3 linked regions of the Bombyx mori genome follow. The protein of the gene in region 2 binds, or shares a complex with, the protein of the main gene of each other region. Links are inferred from orthologs where the notes say so. Each region holds a gene or a part of one and is shown on either strand. Other genes may lie near its edges.

Region 1 (6,260 bases), on a different chromosome or scaffold from region 2:
ATTTGACAAATATTCTACAGTGATTATTTCAAAAAAATTACATTTCTGAAACAATTTGTTTTCAAGAACTTCACTCTTCTCGAGTGGCAAACACGAAGTGAGTACATAACTTTACTAATTTATCTTGACTAATTTAATGAACAAAACGTATAAACAATAATACGTGTATTAAAAAATCAACATACTAACGTTTAAAATTTTCCAAAAAGATTCCACAATGACTTATTTGTATGTTTATACATAAATTAAGTGTTATAGTTCCTTAATAGCCGAATATTATGTAAATTTCCAGTTGACGTCATTATTATACAAAATAAGTAAATAGAATAAACGCTTAAAATGTTTAAACTGGAACTGATTCAAAATCTGGCCGGACACAAGGGTATAGTTTGGAATGTGTCGTGGCATCCACTTGGAAAATATTTTGCTTCTTGTGGTGAAGATAAAACTATAAAATTATGGAGTAAATATGGACAAGATTGGGCGATTAAGACTGTACTTGTCGATGGACATCAGAGAACAATTCGGGAAGTAGCCTGGTCACCCTGCGGTAATTTCCTCGCTTCAGCCAGTTTTGATGCGACTACTGCAATTTGGGATAAAAAAAGTGGTGTGTATTTTTCCCTTGTGACCCTGTGAAGAATTTGTACATCCAAAATTAAAATGAGTAACACTTTATAGGTGAATTCCAATGCAATGCAACTTTAGAAGGCCATGAAAATGAAGTTAAAAGTGTAGCATGGTCACCTTCAGGCCATCTCCTGGCTACTTGTGGAAGAGATAAGTCTGTTTGGGTGTGGGAAGTAGCTGGAGAAGATGAATACGAGTGTGAAGCTGTACTTAATGCTCACAATCAGGATGTGAAGAAAGTTAGTGCATGAATAAACAAAATTGAGTTTGTGTTTCTTACATATAATGAATGGATAAATTATATTATTTTCTTTATAGGTTGCATGGCATCCTTCTCTAGATATCTTAGCATCAGCATCTTATGATAACACAGTAAAACTGTACCAAGAAGATCCTGTAGATAATGATTGGACTTGTGTTGCCACTCTACATTCGCATGAGTCAACAGTTTGGAGTTTGGCATTTGATAAAACTGGAGAAAGACTGGCGACATGTAGTGACGATAGAACTGTAAAAATTTGGAAAGAATACAAACCTGATAATCAAGAAGGTGTTGTGGTGACTGATCGAGAGGCAGTCTGGAAATGCATATGTACACTCTCTGGATTTCACACACGATGTATTTATGATATTGCTTGGTGTCATAAAACTGACCTCATAGCTACTGCTTGTGGAGATGATATCATTAGAATATTTAAAGAGAGTGAAGATTCTGATCCTAATGCTCCCACTTTTGAACTTCTTTGTACAAAGAAAAATGCTCATTCTCAAGATGTAAACTGTGTAGCTTGGAATCCTTCAGGAAATCAAGAACTGCTTTCTTGTAGTGATGATGGAGAAATAAAAATATGGAAGTTTACAGAAGCTTAAAGTAACTAATTATTGACAGAAAGATCAAATAGAAATGATCAAAAAATCTAACAAGGAGTGATAATAATTTTATATTAAGGTTATGCCACAAGACATTAGCTGTGATTGTATCTAGCAAGATATAAATGTATTGTAAATACAGTATAAGTTTCAGTCTTTATAATAATTGTTGAAAACATGATTTAGTATTATTGTTCACGAACATAACCCAAATAACTAATAAAAAAAATAACAAAAAACATTATAACATAGATAAAATGTTTTGGTATACACTGCACTGGCTTGCTGATATAATCCATGGGCTTACATATTTTTTTTAAATATGAAAGCTTTGAAAATCTGACAATTATTATGAAATATCAACTTCTTTAGATCCAATCATTGAACTATACAAAATACCCACAGTCAGGTTTTTTTTGGTATAAGAAACGGTCTTATAATATGAATTAACAAAACACTAAAGTACTATATTATTACACAATATACCATATTAAACTATTACAAACCATATTAAAAATTAAAAGTGGCATTATAAAATTCCAATTTATAAATTAAACATCAGTTAATTGTTTTTATAATGGAGTAGTTAGTTTTAAAGATAAGGAAAAAGGAAATAAAGTTTGGATTAAAATAATGATGAAAAACAGCATTTATTATTTCACTGAATCTTTTCAAAATGCCTTTTGGTAAAATTTAATTTTTTAACAATGTTTTATTTCAAATTTATTAGTAAATTTTACATTTAAAAATTAAACTTTTTTCAGATATTACTAATGTTCTTTCAGTTAGGCAGGCACATTTTAAAGTCAAGAAATTCAAGGAATCACTTGTTCACACATTTTATCAAAATGTCAACTGAGAAATTCTGTGCAGTGTCTTTGGAAAGAGTAGTAACAGTACTTGAAAAATTTGCTCCAAAAGAATTGGCAGAGAGTTGGGATAACACTGGTTTGTTGGTGGAACCTTACACACCGAGGTATGAGCAAATTTATTCTTGACTACAAATACCCACTAGCAGTAACAAAAAAAAATGTTATTCATTTAAAATTATGTACTATTATAATAATTATATTAAGGTAGCTACTGCCTCACATAGAAACTGGTAATGACAGAGATGCTAAGCCTTACTGTGTATTGCTTTAGTCTTTAGACTTATTGTAGAGGATTACACAGAATTGGCCGTGTGGTGTCCGTGTGGTGTGGCCTCGATAAAGAATAATACCGGGCGACTAACGGGTTATCCAGAGAATGAGCGGCAACGTTCTCTGAGTATCATAACAGCATACTGCGATCGCCAACCCGCATGCCAAGCGTGGCGATTATGGAAACCCCTCCCAACATGTCTGACACAAATAAAAACCGCCCAGTCCTCGGCAGCTCCGCTATTCCTGGCTACAGTAGCGGTCAAGGTAACGGCGGGGCAGGGGGTGCTAAGAATCTCCGGCAGAGATCCGGCTACGTAAAAAACGACGATTGGACCTGGCAACATATAACGCGCGAACACTGCGGACCGATGAGAAGATTGTGGAACTCGAGGAGGAATTGAGCAGGTTACGGTGGGACATTGTGGGCTTATCTGAAGTCCGAAGAGAGGGAGAGGAAACGATAATTCTGAGGTCCGGTAACTTGTTCTATTTTCGGGAAGGTGATCATCTGTCTTAAGGTGGTGTCGGGATTATCGTCCACAAGTCCCCTATGAATAATGTGTTGTAAATCGAGAGTGTATCGACCAGAGTGGTTGTACCTTGTACTCAGAATCACCAAAAGGTATTCGTTGAAGATAATACAGGTTTACGCTCCGACTATGTAATAGGACATTTCCAGAGCCATGCATAGCTCTACAACTCACTTCACCATTGTCATGGGGGATATCAACGCCAGACTCGGTAAACGGTGCGAAGGGGAGCTGCGAGTAGGACCATTTGGATTTGGGCATCGAAATCACCAGGGAAACTTACTTGCCGATTTCATGGAGAAGAAAGAATTATTTATGATGACCTCTTCAGAAAACGGGGTCACAGGAAGTGGACCTGGATGAGCCCCAATAGCGCTATCAAAAATGAGATTGATTTTATTATGTCGCAGATTTTATTATGATGTCTCTGTGATCAATACGATTAAAACCGGAAGTGATCATCGGGTGGTAAGAGGCACAATGAACCTCAATAAACCTTGAGAGATTCCGAGTTATGAGGTCTACGCTCCGTTCAGCACCAGCTCAGATCCAAAGTTCTAGACACTTTCAGCTCGAACTTCAAAACCGCTTCGAGTGCCTAGGAGGCTCCGTGGACGATTACAATAACGGGTTTGTGAATGCTGTCCATACGATCGGTTCCAAGATTTTTGGAACCCGTCGTGCAAACAGAACCAAAAAACTCTCAGACCCTACTTTCAAACTCATGGAAGAACGTCGCGAGATGATTATGCAGTCTTGCAGAGATGTTATTTCTCCGAAACTATTTACCGCTGCGTTGGAAGACATTTTCAAAGTTCTGAACTGGAAAGGGCTAGCATAAACATCATCGGCGAGTACATAGTTCGCCGACGATATTGTGACTATGGCCGAGACCTTGGAGGACCTTAGTACAATGCTCAAAGACCTCAGTAGGGCTTCTATCCGAGTGGGCCTGAATATGAACATGGAAAAAACAAAAATTATGTTGAATGTTCATATAGCGCCCACTCCAGTAAAAATTGGAAGCTCTACGCTCGAAGTTGTTGACGAGTATATTTAACTGGGACACACTGTCCTGCTAAGTAAGTCCAACTTCGAAAAAGAGGTCAATCGTCGAATCCAGCTTGGATAGGCAGCGTTCGGAAAGCTACGTAAATCTTCTCATCACAAATACCACAGTGTCTCAAGACGAAAGTCTTTGATCAGTGTGTGTTGCTCTGAAATGTGGTTGCTCACAATGGCCCTTATGAGAAGGCTCAAGGTCACTCAAAGAGCAATGGAGAGGCTATGCTTGGAGTTTTCCTGCGAGATAAATCAGAAATGAGGAGATTCGCAGGAAAACCATGATAACCGACATAGCCCAAAGAATTGCGACGTTGAATTGGCAGTGGGCAAGGCACATTGCTCGTAGAACGGATGGCCGTTGGGGCCAGAAAGTTCTTGAGTGGCGACCGCGTACCGGAAGACGTAGCGTGGGCAAGCCTCCCGCAAGATAGAACGACGATCTATTGAGATTCGCGGGAATCTGCTGGATGCAGGCAGCGCAGGACCGGTCTTTGTGGCGAGACTTGGGGGAGCCCTGTGTCCAGTAGTGGACGTCTGTGGGCTGATAAGAAGAAGAAGACATAGAATTGATAGATAAGTCTTAAGTATTAAAGTTATGATTACCTTCATGCTTTGGGTTGAAATTGTATGTGCTTTGAAGTTTCAAATTATAAACTGTCAATTCAGCCGTATGTAGGGTATATAAAATATATAGGCTAAAGTGTCTCTTTGAATAAAGCCAATGATGACATTATTTGAGGATTACCAAACATGTTTGATTAAAACATGGGTATATAATTATTTTTCATATATAATTATATTATATTATTTCATTGAAAATTGGTTTTCTGTAATCAGCTAACCTATTCCTCGAAAACCTTTTTAATAAAAATAAATAAAATTACATGGCCAATGCCCATTGCACTTTTGCGAATCACAAGATTTAAAAAATACAGTCTATTCTCAAACACAACCAGTGTGGACTAAAAGTCACTCCCCTGTTATAGAAAGATCTATACAGAACACAAAGTGAGGATGCAACTATAATATGAGTTGATGATGTAGAAGTGGTACCAGCTAAAGTCAAATGCCTGTAAGTTCAGACATATAATCGCCAAACTTATAAAAATACTTTAAATAAATTTCCATTAGTTAATTTGACAAATTTAAATTAATTTTCTTTATGTTTTTAATTACCTATTTAAAATATAATATTTTTTTATAATTTTCAATTCCAGACAAATAACCAAAATTTTGTTAACTAACGACTTAACAGAAGATGTGGCCTTGGAAGCTGAAATTCTGGCGTGTGAGATGATTATTTCATATCATCCTCCGATATTTGCGCCTTTGAAGTCTATTGTTCAGCGGTAATTATTTATATAGTTCTAGTCACACGTCTTTGACGCTATTTATCACTTTGTCAGCATAGTATCCATATATTTTATATTATCAAATGAAAGTACAGTCAAACCTGGATAAGCGAGAGTTCAAGGGAGCACAATCTCATTCTCGCTTATAGAGGTTTCTCACTAACCCGAGTTTCTCGCTAATGCTCCCTCTGAATTTCGATTCGCGATTTTCCGCATTCAAATGCATTCACTATTTTAAGTTTATGACTTTAATGACAGTACTTTAATTTTCCGTTTTTACATGATGCAGAACAGAACTTTCCTTCGCAATTGATTAACGATAATCTGAGTAAGTCCGACAAACAGGACGGTACACAGGCACACGTGTCCATTCGAAAATAATGCGATAAAAGAATACGATAAAATAACAACGTTATTTAGTTTCACGAAATAGAATAGGTTCAATATTCACGAGAAAACAATACAAAAACAATGATAATAAGTTCCACGAAAGTTAAAAATGAGTCATAAAATAGCAAATGTTAAATTTGTAATTTGTTTTGTCATTTGTTCTTCCTAAATAATATAAATAAATAAATAAAGCTCGGCTGTCGCTTATAGAGGTATAGATAGGTAGCAGTCTCACTTACGGAGGTCCATGAGGAAAAAACGACTCTCTCTTACAGAGG
Region 2 (5,750 bases):
GGTGCTTTAAGTGTTGAATACAGTTTTTAGTTGTACTTTGGTGGAACATTTATTTATCCCAGCGCGTAACAATATGTACGTATTCGGGGATTTTGAGTCTCACTTGAAGGTTCACTATCTCAGTATATAAACAACTGTACGTGTAGCTGTAATTCATCTAACACGAAGGTAGTCAAGCTCCGTAACCCCGCACGTCAGCTGTGTGCCTAACGACAAACATAGGGGCGCTGTTCCAACTCCATACAAATTTGAGTTAACTTTTACGCAATCGAGATGTTAAAAACTCGCACTAAGAATACTAATTGTTAACTCTATTTGCGTACGATTGACAAGACTGTAAGTACGGGCCCTCGGACGCGACCTCCGAACATCAGTAGCGTTAAATACACCCAACAAAATTGGCATAACTTTTATAGTTTCTTAACGTTTATACGATACAATGAACAAGGGCGCACCTGGAAGTTCTCCCGCAGGTAGTCGAGCCGTGCCTTGAGGATGCGGCTCTGCGTGAACACGTAGGGGATGCCGAACATGAGCACGGCGCGGCCCAGGTGGTGCTCGAAGTCCACGCCCTCCGACACCTTGCCGCGGGCCACGGACAGCAGCACGGCGCCGCGCCCCGACTCGCACGCCTGCGCACCGCACCCACCTCACACCACAAGATACAACGATGCACGAAGTCCAGATAAGGTTTAAAAGGTAGATAAATCTTATATTTATCTTTTACTGGCTGACCCGGGCAGACTTCGTAGTGGCCTCAATCGATAAACAAAATCCTAATCTAAGTGACACATCTAAGGGAAAACAAAATTGTTATTTTTATTTCATTCCGAGCATTTTCATATTTATCTATGTTTTAAGCCTTCTCTGGACTTCCACAAATAATTGAAGATCAAAAGCTAAAATCGGTCCAGCCGTTCTTGAGTTTTAGCGAGACTAACGAACAGCAATTCATTTTTATATATATAGATTTATCGATGGAGGCACTACGAAGTCTGTTATAAATACATATTTGGCTCAGTGTGGTTAGTGCGAGTTTTTTAACATAGCGTAAAAGTTAACCCAATTTAGTATGCAGTTGGAACAGCGCCTCTAGCGGCAAACGTACGCAAACGTTCCAACTCCATACAAATTCGAGTTAACTTTTACGCTATCGAGAACGTTAAAAACTCGCACTAAGCACACTGGTGTAAAGTTAGATTTTAAAGTGAAACTTTTATTACATCGTCTCAAACTTTTCCGTCTGTGTGTTGCATGTCGCGTGACGGTCGGCCGCGGAGTAGGGATAAAGTGAAAGGCGCTCGTCAGAGCAGCCAAGGCCAATATGGCGGCGCCTATAGTTCGCAGCAGCTGACCGTGTAGTGTATAGACTATTACTCATTTGTGCCAGTGATCCACGCTATTGTTTGTTTTTGTCAGTGTTTAATGTAAATGGTGTTTGTCAGAGTTAAATGTCTATAATGTGAAAAAAAAAGTTTCACTTTTAGCGTGGTTTCATAAAACACACAATCCTTTTTATTGCTTAGATGGGTGGACGAAGTCACAGCCCACCTGGTGTTAAGTGGTTACTGGAGCCCATAGACATCTACAACGTAAATGCGCAACCCTCCTTGAGATATGAGTTCTAAGGTCTCAGTATAGTTAAACGCCCCCCCCCCCCCCCCTTCACACCGGAACGCATTACTGCTTCACGAGTATAATTAATCATCCTTAAAATTTCTGACAGTAACTAGTGATGCTCTATATGTAAGGGTCCCGCTGGTGGGGCGGCGGCGCCACTTGCCTTGATGTAGTTGATGAGGGCGAAGCTCGTCTCGGCGGAGTCTTGCGTCTCGATGAACAGCAGCTTGTGTCGCTGCAGACTCGCGACTACACCTGCACACGCGTTACATTTGTTACGAGAGGGGCCCGCGGACATCACGCTGCATCGTGTTTATGTGGCCGAGTTTCCGCTCACCCTGGTCGTACCAGGCCCCCACGACGCTCTCCAGATACAGGTACGACGTGAAGAAGCACACCACGCCGTCAGGCACGCACGCCGACATCTGTAGATGAGAGAACATATATTTACTAACACTCATTTATAAGTACCGTTACGCGCTGGGATTCGGGATAAATAAAATTCTACCGAATTACAAGTTAACACTATATTAGCACTTAGAACACTTAAAACACTTAACAAACGCTTTAAAACTCTCAATTCGCTTCTTCCGCTTCGCTTCTGGTGATCCTTTCGCTGTTCCGATTACTGACTGCGTGTTTTTTTTTCCTACCTAAGCTGAGAGCCTTGAGAGGCTATATCAGCGTAGCCTTAACTAGTAGGTGAGCTCACGGGGCTCAAACCTGACAACATTTCTAACATGAGCCCTAGCTAGCGAGCCGAATCGGAATTGTAACCCACTGAGAAGATCAGGCGAGAAACTCAGTGGACTGTGTCTGAAGGCATCTCTGCAACGCTTTTATAGTCGAGCCGAAATCCCGAGAATCGTCGAGAATATTTCACAAAAGTCTAGTATTGTGTATTTCCGTTATCTGGCAATAGATGACGTTGTACTTCTCGAGCGTTCTAGATGTTACTAGATCCTTCGATATTCGTTCGACTATTCGGCGATAGATGGCGTTACTCTTACCGGCGTAACAGTACTAATGGTTTCCCAGTTGTACACTACACTATAGATAAATAATATTAAACTTAACGCCAGGTGGGCTGTGAGCTCATCCACCCATCTAAGCAATAAAAAAAAGTGCGCTCCTCTATATTGTTACGCCGGTAAGAGTAACGCCATCTATCGTCGAACAGCAGAAACGAATATCAAAAGAACCAGTAAAATGTAGAACGATCGAGAAGTGCAACGCCATCTGTTGTCAGACAGCAGAAACGCATATTGAAAATACCTGACTTGTGAGGGATGTTTTCAATAATTCTAGGGATGTCGTATCGCCGGCAGTGATGACATGGATCAGTTTGTTAATCGAATCTACTCGAAGCGAAACAGCGAACGGATCAGCTGAAGCGAAGCGAAAGAAGTAAATTGAAAATTTTAAAGTGATTTAAGTGCTAATTTGTACTACCGTAGAATTTTTATTTATCCCGAACCCCAGCGCGTAACAATATTCTCTATGAGTGTGAGATATTTCATACTACTCCGCAAAATTTTCATAAAAAGGGGTACAAAGTTTTTGCTTCACCTATAAATATACAGATAATAATATTCAGATATTGTGTGCCGTTTTATAAGGACGGCATTGTTGTAGGTGAAGACAACGGTAAGATTGAGGTTTATTGTTTTGATTGTTCTCAAGACGATGAGAAGTGGTTAAATTTAATATCAAAGACAGGTACGCGAGCGTCTATGTTTAGACGAAACTGTCTATAGGCATTGTAATTGTGACCATCCGTTGTTAAGTGAGTAACAATCAAACTGAGACGATAATTATATAAAGAACTCATTTCAGCGGGGTGCGTTTGTACTGTAAAAACTGAGACCTTAGAACTCATATCTCAAGGTGAGTGGCAGCATTTACGTTGCAGATGTCTATGGGCTCTTAATACCAGTGGGCTTTAAGTTCGCCCACACATCTAAGCAATAAAAAAGTGACATGGTCGCCATATCGCAGGAGTCTTTCGTGGACATGTGCAAGATCCATATGACTATAAGCGGCGGCGCAGTACGAGAACGGTACCTCGACCAGCAGCTGCCCGTAGTTCCTTATGACGGCGACGTCCTCTCTCGTCTCGTACTTGGACGATATGGCCACCTGATCGCTGCCCTTCGATACTATCTGAAAGATATAACAAAAAACAATTATTAGGTACAGAGGGACGCAAACGTGCATGGATATTTGTATGAACCTACAGCTAACGCCATTTTTTTATGAACAAAGGATTACTGGAAATTCCTCCGGGCTCTTTTCGGTTTCACCAGGACAGGTGGGCGAGCAAGGGCTCAGCCAGGAGAGGTAGGATTTGCTAACAGCTGCCCGAGCGCCTCCGAAGGAGACCTAACAACTCAAGAGCAGCTGCTTTGCTAATGAATCTACTACCGGATCGGAATCGCGACCCGCTGAGAAGATCCGGCGAGAAACTCGACGGGCTGATGCATGGGTTAGGTTGCACGGCGAACTCTTTGTCGAGTTCGACGAATACGGTTACCGGGGTCCCTCAGTCTGCTCCTAGTGTTAGAGCTGAAGGCGTCTAATTAAGGCATGCTAACGCCATCTGTTATTGAAGGGCGGTACTAGCTGGTGATGTGTAGTAGTCTGTTACTGGTACCAGATTGTGCTTTATTAAACATGTGAAAAATATTTTGTATGGTGCATGTACAATCTCAATGTTTAGAATGAAACAGAAGATAGGTAAAAATATGTACCTAATAAGATGATTGATGATTTAAATGTGATGAAGACAAGTAAATAAACCCAGCAACGCCATCTAATTAATGTATATTAACTCGCATAAAAATGCACTAACGCGTTTCGGGTTTCGTACCGCCGTTAGACAATATTGAGAGTTTGACCTCAAGCCTCATGGTGGGTAGCGTTATGCACGTTATGATATGACTACGGGATCCGGTGAACACTTGAAACCAGATCTTCCGATATGACTAAAGAGTAATCTTATGTCTCTGTGAAATCAATTGATATATCAGTTCTGTCAGCTTCAACAGTGATGAGCAGCTCGTGGACATTCTCCCTTCCTCCACCCTCAGTACATCCAGTGATTCACGAGAGCTCACGACTAACCTATTTACAATATATCGCAAGTTCTATGAGCTAAGGATCCCGACTGACAAAACTAACCATGGGCAGTATGCACGGCCTGGCCAGGGTCATGGTGAAGGAGCTCATTATCACCGGATTGAAGTCCAGGATCTTCGGGTACATGTCCAGCGGCGAGAGGGTTCCTGAAATTTCCACGAAACTATTGTTACGCTGGCAAGAGCAATGCCATCTATCGTCGAATAACAGCAACTAGTATAAGAACAGAAACTAATATAAGAACGTTGCCGGCTAACATTCGAGTTTGCAAGTCTGTTTCTGTTTTAAGTACAAGTTCAAACAATTCTATTTCTCATCAACCGAATGATCATTGTTCTATGCTCTTCGTATATACTGTGTTACTTATAATATTTTGTATTCAAGTTTAACAATATTTATGTTGAATATGGCGGTCGAATGAGCATGGTTACTGATTTTCATGGGCCACCAGACGGGCTCGGCTGGATCGCATGCAGCGTACGTACTGATAGTCTGAGTAATAAAAGCACTGACTTCTTATGAACAATTGTATTTTGTCTGAATTACAACATTTAATTATATTCAAGTCTGATTGAAGAGTACTGAAGACGCGTCCGTTCGCGTGAGGGGCGCTTGGGCAGAGAGCGAACAGAGTAGTTGAATGACAAAACTGAACATTAACATAGATTATTACGGCTTCGTACTGATCTAATACAGATAAACAATTTCGTTTCTACAGAGTAATAATTACATGTGAATTTGCGTGAACAATTTACTATGTGTATTTGCGTTACTATAATTCTCATGTTGTATTTGTTATTTTAGCTGTTCTACACACACTTATCCCTTTTTAATTATTATTCTCATAATCCTCTCGCAGGTCTGCTGGAAGAGATTTCTTAAAGAAATAAGCAGTGCCTTTGTACATAATTTTCCTATTACTATTAATGTCTTCTTTTTTGTGTGTACATAAATAAATAAATAATAATAAAAAATAATAAGAACTAGTAAAA
Region 3 (6,320 bases), on a different chromosome or scaffold from region 2:
GCACCGTTAGTGGATCGGGAGCATCCGAGATGACGTGTTTTGGGCGACGTCGACTGCTTTCCATTCTGTCCGCAGGATCGGGAATGTAGTTACCGGCGGCCACGATGAGAGGGTTCTCGTGTCGTGCCGCTTTATCGAAGTGGCGCATTGACGCCGACTGTATATACTTACTGATGGACTCTAAGTCCAGGTCGTCATGGAGGTCGACGTTCCTGACGAACCACGGGGCTCCGACGGCTATCCTGCAAAAACGGGATTGAATGATTTGGAATGACTTTAAGTGAGTGCGGGCCGCGTGAGCGAACACTACACTTGCATAGGTCATGACGGGGCGTATGCAAGTTTTGTAGAGTGTCACCTTATTTCTAAGGGACATTTTACTTCGCCTACATATCATCGGGTAGAGACGTCCTAGAATGAAGGCGGCACGGTCGCGTACCGTCTTGATGTGGGGGCGGAATGTCATCCTACTGTCGAGGGTGACGCCTAAATATTTGACCTTCGGGGCCCACGGTATGGGCTGGTCGAACATCGTGATTGGGCGAACGGCGGGGGCGGAGGTGTTGACGCGCCTAGTCGGGAGGGATGACGTTTTATACAAAACATGCCTTTTTATACCTGCAGTTGGTCTTGCAAACTGCAGTGAGTTGAGGGAGCAATTTTTGGAGTTTGCTGTTGTCGTTTTGTTTCAGCAGGCAGGTAAACTTATCATGTCTTATGTGGTATCATTGAATAGGTATTGAACTATCCTTTAACCTTATGTTAAAAAATATATGTATTTTTTTAAATAAAAAGAAGTAAATAATATTTTTCAAAAAATGTACAGATGTGCGATTTCATTGCACCCGAGTGTAGATATATTTTGATCCTAATAAAAGGTTAAAGACTTTGTTTGAGTTTTCTTGCCTATTCATTAAACACAAAAGTGCCTTCGAACAAACACGGATTTGTGGAGCTTAATCAAGGCGCATACTTGCAAACCCGTGCGCGATTGGAGGACGCGTACCCTGAATTGAACACGTGTTTAGAAGGGCAGTTGGCGTTGCAAACCCGTGCGCGATTTGAGGACACGTGCCTTGAATTGAACACGATTTTGTAAAGGAAGCTAGCGCGACAAACCCGTGCGTGTTTCAAGGCAGTACTGCCTCCTAATGAACACGGAAATGGAAATACGCTACCCGGTCGAGGGGGGTAACGGACCGGGTTATGTCGGACTCCGGCGCCTCCTGGCCTGGCCTCCTGAGAGGAAGAAGGGGAGAAGAGAAGGGCCGAGGTCCTTCACCTGCCCCAATTTCTCATAGGAGACTACGCCTTGAAAAAGGCGCGCGAAGCACTTACCCCGCAGAACGACTACCGACTAAACCCCATCGAGCTCCACCACACCGACTACACGAAACTTACGGTACCGCGATGCGCGCCGAAAGTCTCGCCTTAGGCGGTACCCGTACTAATGTTAAGACGGGATTTCATCCCCGGGAAAATCCCGTAGTCGTCGTGGCCTAACGGATAAGACGTCCGGTGCATTCGTGTTGAGCGATGCATCGGTGTTCGAATCCCGCAGGCGGGTACCAATTTTTCTAATGAAATACGTACTCAACAAATGTTCACGATTGATTTCCACGGTGAAGGAATAACATCGTGTAATAAAAATGAAACCCGCAAAATTATAATTTGCGTAATTACTGGTGGTAGGACCTCTTGTGAGTCCGCACGGGTAGGTACCACCACCCTGCCTATTTCTGCCGTGAAGCAGTAATGCGTTTCGGTTTGAAGGGTGGGGCAGCCGTTGTAACTATAATTGAGACCTTAGAACTTATATCTCAAGATGGGTGGCGCATTTACGTTGTAGATGTCTATGGGCTCCAGTAACCACTTAACACCAGGTGGGCTGTGAGCTCGTCCACTCATCTAAAAAATCTGTCTCTGTAATAAATTAACTTTTTAAACAAGATTTAAATATAAAACAGTAAAATTGCTCGTGTTTTGGATATAAAACTGCAAAAATATTCGTAAAATATCGAAAACCGAATCAGAGCACATCACTTTCCACCTGGTCTTGTCTGCCCTACCCCTAGAGTGTATATAAAAAACCGGAGGCGCGGAGGGAGAGCAGTCCTCGCCAATATTAGTTAGTATTTAAAGTATTAAGTACATTTTGGCAAAACTAGCTTCACATATCATTAATATTAATAAATTCAGTTGTCAGTCCTAAGCCTGAGAAAGCATGAAGGATTGTTTTCATTTAAAAAAATGTATTAAAACCATTTCATATGTTATAACTGTTCCTATAAGTGGACATATTCTATTTAAAACATTATTAAACCTGTTGCAAAACAAAACGCTGTTATATTGGAACAGGCTACTGGAACTGTTCTTTCGCTGGAACAGGAACAGGTGGAACAGGTCTCTAATTTCACCTGTTACAGACCATCCCTAGTTTGGACAGGCAAAGGGAGATTAGTCGATTTAGCAAAGGATTCTGTAATGGGAACTATCACGGAAAAAAGATTGCTCCAAAATCGCGAACAGTAGTTGGCTTATGTAAATTTTAACACCACGTTGCATGATTGAAAAATAATACCCACTAGATAAATTTTCCATTCTTACTTCTCAAATGAAAATAATTACCTGTGTCGAAACTATTCCAGCCTTCACACTTACACAATTATCACCTGATCAACTTTGACTACCGTGGCCCCGGCACATCTTACGTTCTTCGATAGTCTACCTACCTACTACTTCGATAGTATACTTAAGTGTCAATAAATTCCCACTATTTTACTGGAACATCTTTAATTTATTTCATCTTAACACGTTTCATTCCATTTAGTTTCATTAAATTTCATCCAGAGCATCCATTAGTCACGTCCACTGAACTCTCAGTTAATAATCCTTGTTTTACTGAGACGATTTTATTTCATCCCATTGAGGGAGTCCGTATAAAGTCCCTTCTTTATTTCGCGGGAAAATCGTGTTTTATGTAATTAACACCACACTTGAAACAATAGGAGTTTTATTGTTGCAGCGGCTTATACAGTTCTAAGTTATACCATTTTTTTTTTTCGTCCTTTAAATATTCAGCGGTAAAAAAAATTTTTTTGGGTATTTTATGTCCAGCTCAACTAAGACCTTTAGGTCATGTCTTATTTTAATTCATATTCTTAATTTTATGAAAAATTATATAATGGAAAGAAGTGAAATGCAATGAAGATGATTAATTTGAGACAATAATCAAGTAAGATGAAATTAAATATAGTGAGATGAGATGATATGGGATGAAATATAATCTCAGTAAAATGGTGGTCATTTAATGAAAGGACATGGGCCATTTTCGGCCCAGCTACTCGTGCCCTCAAGGACATTAATAAAATATCTATAGAAAAAAACATTTCATTTTTACATACTTATTATAAAATTTAAGGGTATTTTAATGGTGGGATAATCAAAAGCATAAATAAAAAGAAATACTTAAGCATGATTAAGCTACATTGATAATATTGAAGGAGCTGCCATGGGTAAAATATATTTATATTTTAAATAATTCATATTAAATCTTCTTAAAGAAAACAATGTATTACAAAAAACTAGCAAAATATATTAACATATTTAATCGATAAATATAAATAATAGATAAGCTGATGATGATGTTCGTTTAGTGGGGCGTGCAATGTATGGTCCATGTCCTTTTTTCAGTGGACTTTTTGGAGGATTCCGGGGAAGTTATGTTCAGCGGCTTTGTTGCATTTTCCCACATTTGTGAACTTTCACAGATATTAAACAGTTAATAAATCACCGTTATTACACATTTAAACCTGAAGAAATACTAAATCGACAAAATAAAACAAATCACACAACTTCACTCCTCGCGTTCCCGCCAAAAAGTCCCGGACTCCCGGCGGTAAAAAGGTCCCGTGTCACAGACTATCTTCTTTTTCCCACCTCTTGTGCGATCCGGCTTACGCATCATAAAACATCCTAGTTTCATATAATGTCACTCAAATTTAAAGACTAACATTAGTTAAGTTCATCTCATTTAGCTTCATATGAATTCTGATTTATCAGATTAGAATTTCTACGTGCTCTTTACGTAGAAATTATATTATAGCTGGACTAGAAGGTCTTGTAACCGCTGGCTGTAAGCCAATTGCAATATTGAAAAATTAAGAAGAACAAAAACACTTCAATTTTATTATCTACTTAGAGACTCGGCTAAAGATATTTATTTCAAATTTAAGTAATAAGTTCGTAATGTCCAAAACTCCAATAAAAGAATTGGCTATCAACTTTGTACCTAGAGGTAATTATTTACATAGAGTTTGATTTATAAACTATTATGGTTACGTTGCTGGGTATCAATATCACTTATTATCAAGTGGGCTGTGAGTTTGTCTGCCCATCATCGATTAAGAAGAAAAAGTTTAACAAACAAAATTTCTGTTGTCCATGTCGATTGAAATAGTAAGTAATTTAATAAATGATATTATTTCAGAGATTACAACTCCAAATAAAGACCAACCAGGCTTATCAAAGACTGTATTTTCACATGTGTCTTCGTTTCATAGTTTGTTAATTGATTGGGTCAAACTAAAAGATAAAGGTTCTAAGTTTTGTAAAGGGATCTCATCAGTGAAACTGCACGAGTATAATGATGATTATTATCCGCACCTATTGAAGCCATTGACTGAGGGCTTAGTTGAAATTATAGATAGCTTTCAAAATATTATCGAGGGTAAGTAAAATGATGTATGTTAGTCTAACAATCAACTACAATATTGGAGTATGTGAGACTACTTTTAATAATGTTACAGTTTAAACAATTTAATGGAATGGAATATACATTAACTTTCTAATCAATCTAATTCTAATGCAAAACTGAACTATGTCATATTTAAATGTTTCATTTCAGGTATAAAAATACTAAAAAATCAACTGGATTCACTATCAAAATTGCAGTCGACTGACCAGCCAGTAATTTTGACATGGTCAGTAGGCCGAATTCATGCTTGTGTTAAAAATACATATGAATCACTCTTAAAGGAGTACAAACTAAAAAAAATTGTGACAGGTGAAAATTATTATTATTTATTGAAACATACTGGTGGTAAGACCTCTTGTGAATCCGCACGGGTAGGTACCACCACCCTGCCTATTTTAGACGTGAAGTAGTAATGCATTTCAGTTTGAAGGGTGGGGAACCTGTTTTAATTATACTTGAGGCATTAGAACTTATATCTCGAGGTGGGTGGCGCATTTACGCTGTAGATGTCTATGGGCTCCAGTAACCACTTAACAACAGGTGGGCTGTGAGCTCGTCCACCCATCTAAGCAATGAATAAAAACAACATGCCCGTGATTACATTAGAATTCTAAGACAAGTATTCCCTTTTTTAAAACCATTCAATTCTATGCAGGCCTCCAAAATAATTAATAAACAAAATAAATAATAATAATTAATAGAAAATTTTTGGGATACAAAACATAATTTTCAGAAAATATCCGGCTTTATTTGCTACAGAATAGATTTCACATACTGCTTCCTGACAACTCTGTGATAACTCAATAATTTACATTTTTATCTTATTGGTAATTTAAGGTAAACATAATTCATCATCATCATCATCTCAGCCTGTCCATTGTCCACTGCTGAACATAGGCCTCTCCAAGTGATCTCCAGTGCAGCCGGTCCGTTGCCACCTGCATCCAACGTGACCCAGCGGTTCTTACCAGGTCGTCGGTCCATCTCGTAGGTGGCCGTCCCACACTGAGCTTGCCAGTACGTGGTCTCCACTCGAGGATCTTTCCGCCCCATCGGCCGTCCGATCTTCGCGCTATGTGGCCTGCCCACTGCCACTTCAGTGTGCTAATCCTACGGCCTATGTCAGTAACTTTGGTTCTTCTACGGATCTCCTCGTTTCTGATTCGGCCCCGTAGAGAAATACCAAGCATAGCCATCTCCATAGCTCGCTGCGCGACGCTGATAATTATAATTATAAACATAATTAATGTATATAATTTCTGTTTTCAGAAAACATAGCACACTGTAGAGATGAAAGCCTCATTGAAGTTTATGTTAGTTCTTGGGAATTTGACCCATATTTGAACATGGAAGAAAATGCTTATTTATTTGCAGAAATTGGTGTTGCTGGAATTTCTTCATTTAAAAAAATAATTTAATGCTCATTCGTCAGTATTGTCTATGTCAAGTCATTTTTGGATGTTTTAAAAGTCACAGACAATTTAATTATAAAGCTTTAAAGGCCTTATGACTAAGTGTAAACTTACTATTTTTATCTTGTACTGTAAATTGTACAATTATTTAG

The links. Proteins that work in one complex are often made in the same cells at the same time.
Region 1: general transcription and DNA repair factor IIH helicase subunit XPD (region 2) and NIF3-like protein share a complex: the UniProt entries of both Homo sapiens proteins name them as parts of the MMXD complex. The link is inferred for Bombyx mori from reciprocal best matches to the Homo sapiens genes ERCC2 and CIAO1.
Region 3: general transcription and DNA repair factor IIH helicase subunit XPD (region 2) and DNA-directed RNA polymerase II subunit Rpb4 share a complex: the UniProt entries of both Homo sapiens proteins name them as parts of the TBP-based Pol II pre-initiation complex. The link is inferred for Bombyx mori from reciprocal best matches to the Homo sapiens genes ERCC2 and POLR2D.

Annotation. Positions count from the first base shown.
Region 1 is NC_085116.1:9,600,187-9,606,446, reverse strand, and holds the start of NIF3-like protein, read left to right. Parts: upstream 1-2,348; coding exon 2,349-2,476; intron 2,477-5,457; coding exon 5,458-5,589; intron 5,590-6,260. UniProt on the Homo sapiens protein: Key component of the cytosolic iron-sulfur protein assembly (CIA) complex, a multiprotein complex that mediates the incorporation of iron-sulfur cluster into extramitochondrial Fe/S proteins.
Region 2 is NC_085127.1:13,512,735-13,518,484, reverse strand, and holds part of general transcription and DNA repair factor IIH helicase subunit XPD, read right to left. Parts: intron 4,905-5,750; coding exon 4,801-4,904; intron 3,784-4,800; coding exon 3,685-3,783; intron 2,046-3,684; coding exon 1,958-2,045; intron 1,876-1,957; coding exon 1,784-1,875; intron 633-1,783; coding exon 456-632; intron 1-455. UniProt on the Homo sapiens protein: ATP-dependent 5'-3' DNA helicase. Component of the general transcription and DNA repair factor IIH (TFIIH) core complex, not absolutely essential for minimal transcription in vitro.
Region 3 is NC_085114.1:9,606,335-9,612,654, reverse strand, and holds the start of DNA-directed RNA polymerase II subunit Rpb4, read right to left. Parts: upstream 3,913-6,320; 5' UTR 3,803-3,912; exon of another isoform or gene 3,794-3,802; intron 2,996-3,793; 5' UTR 2,629-2,995; intron 1-2,628. Other genes in the region: uncharacterized protein LOC119628842, read left to right, coding at 4,249-4,297, 4,490-4,729, 4,907-5,065, 6,026-6,174. UniProt on the Homo sapiens protein: Core component of RNA polymerase II (Pol II), a DNA-dependent RNA polymerase which synthesizes mRNA precursors and many functional non-coding RNAs using the four ribonucleoside triphosphates as substrates.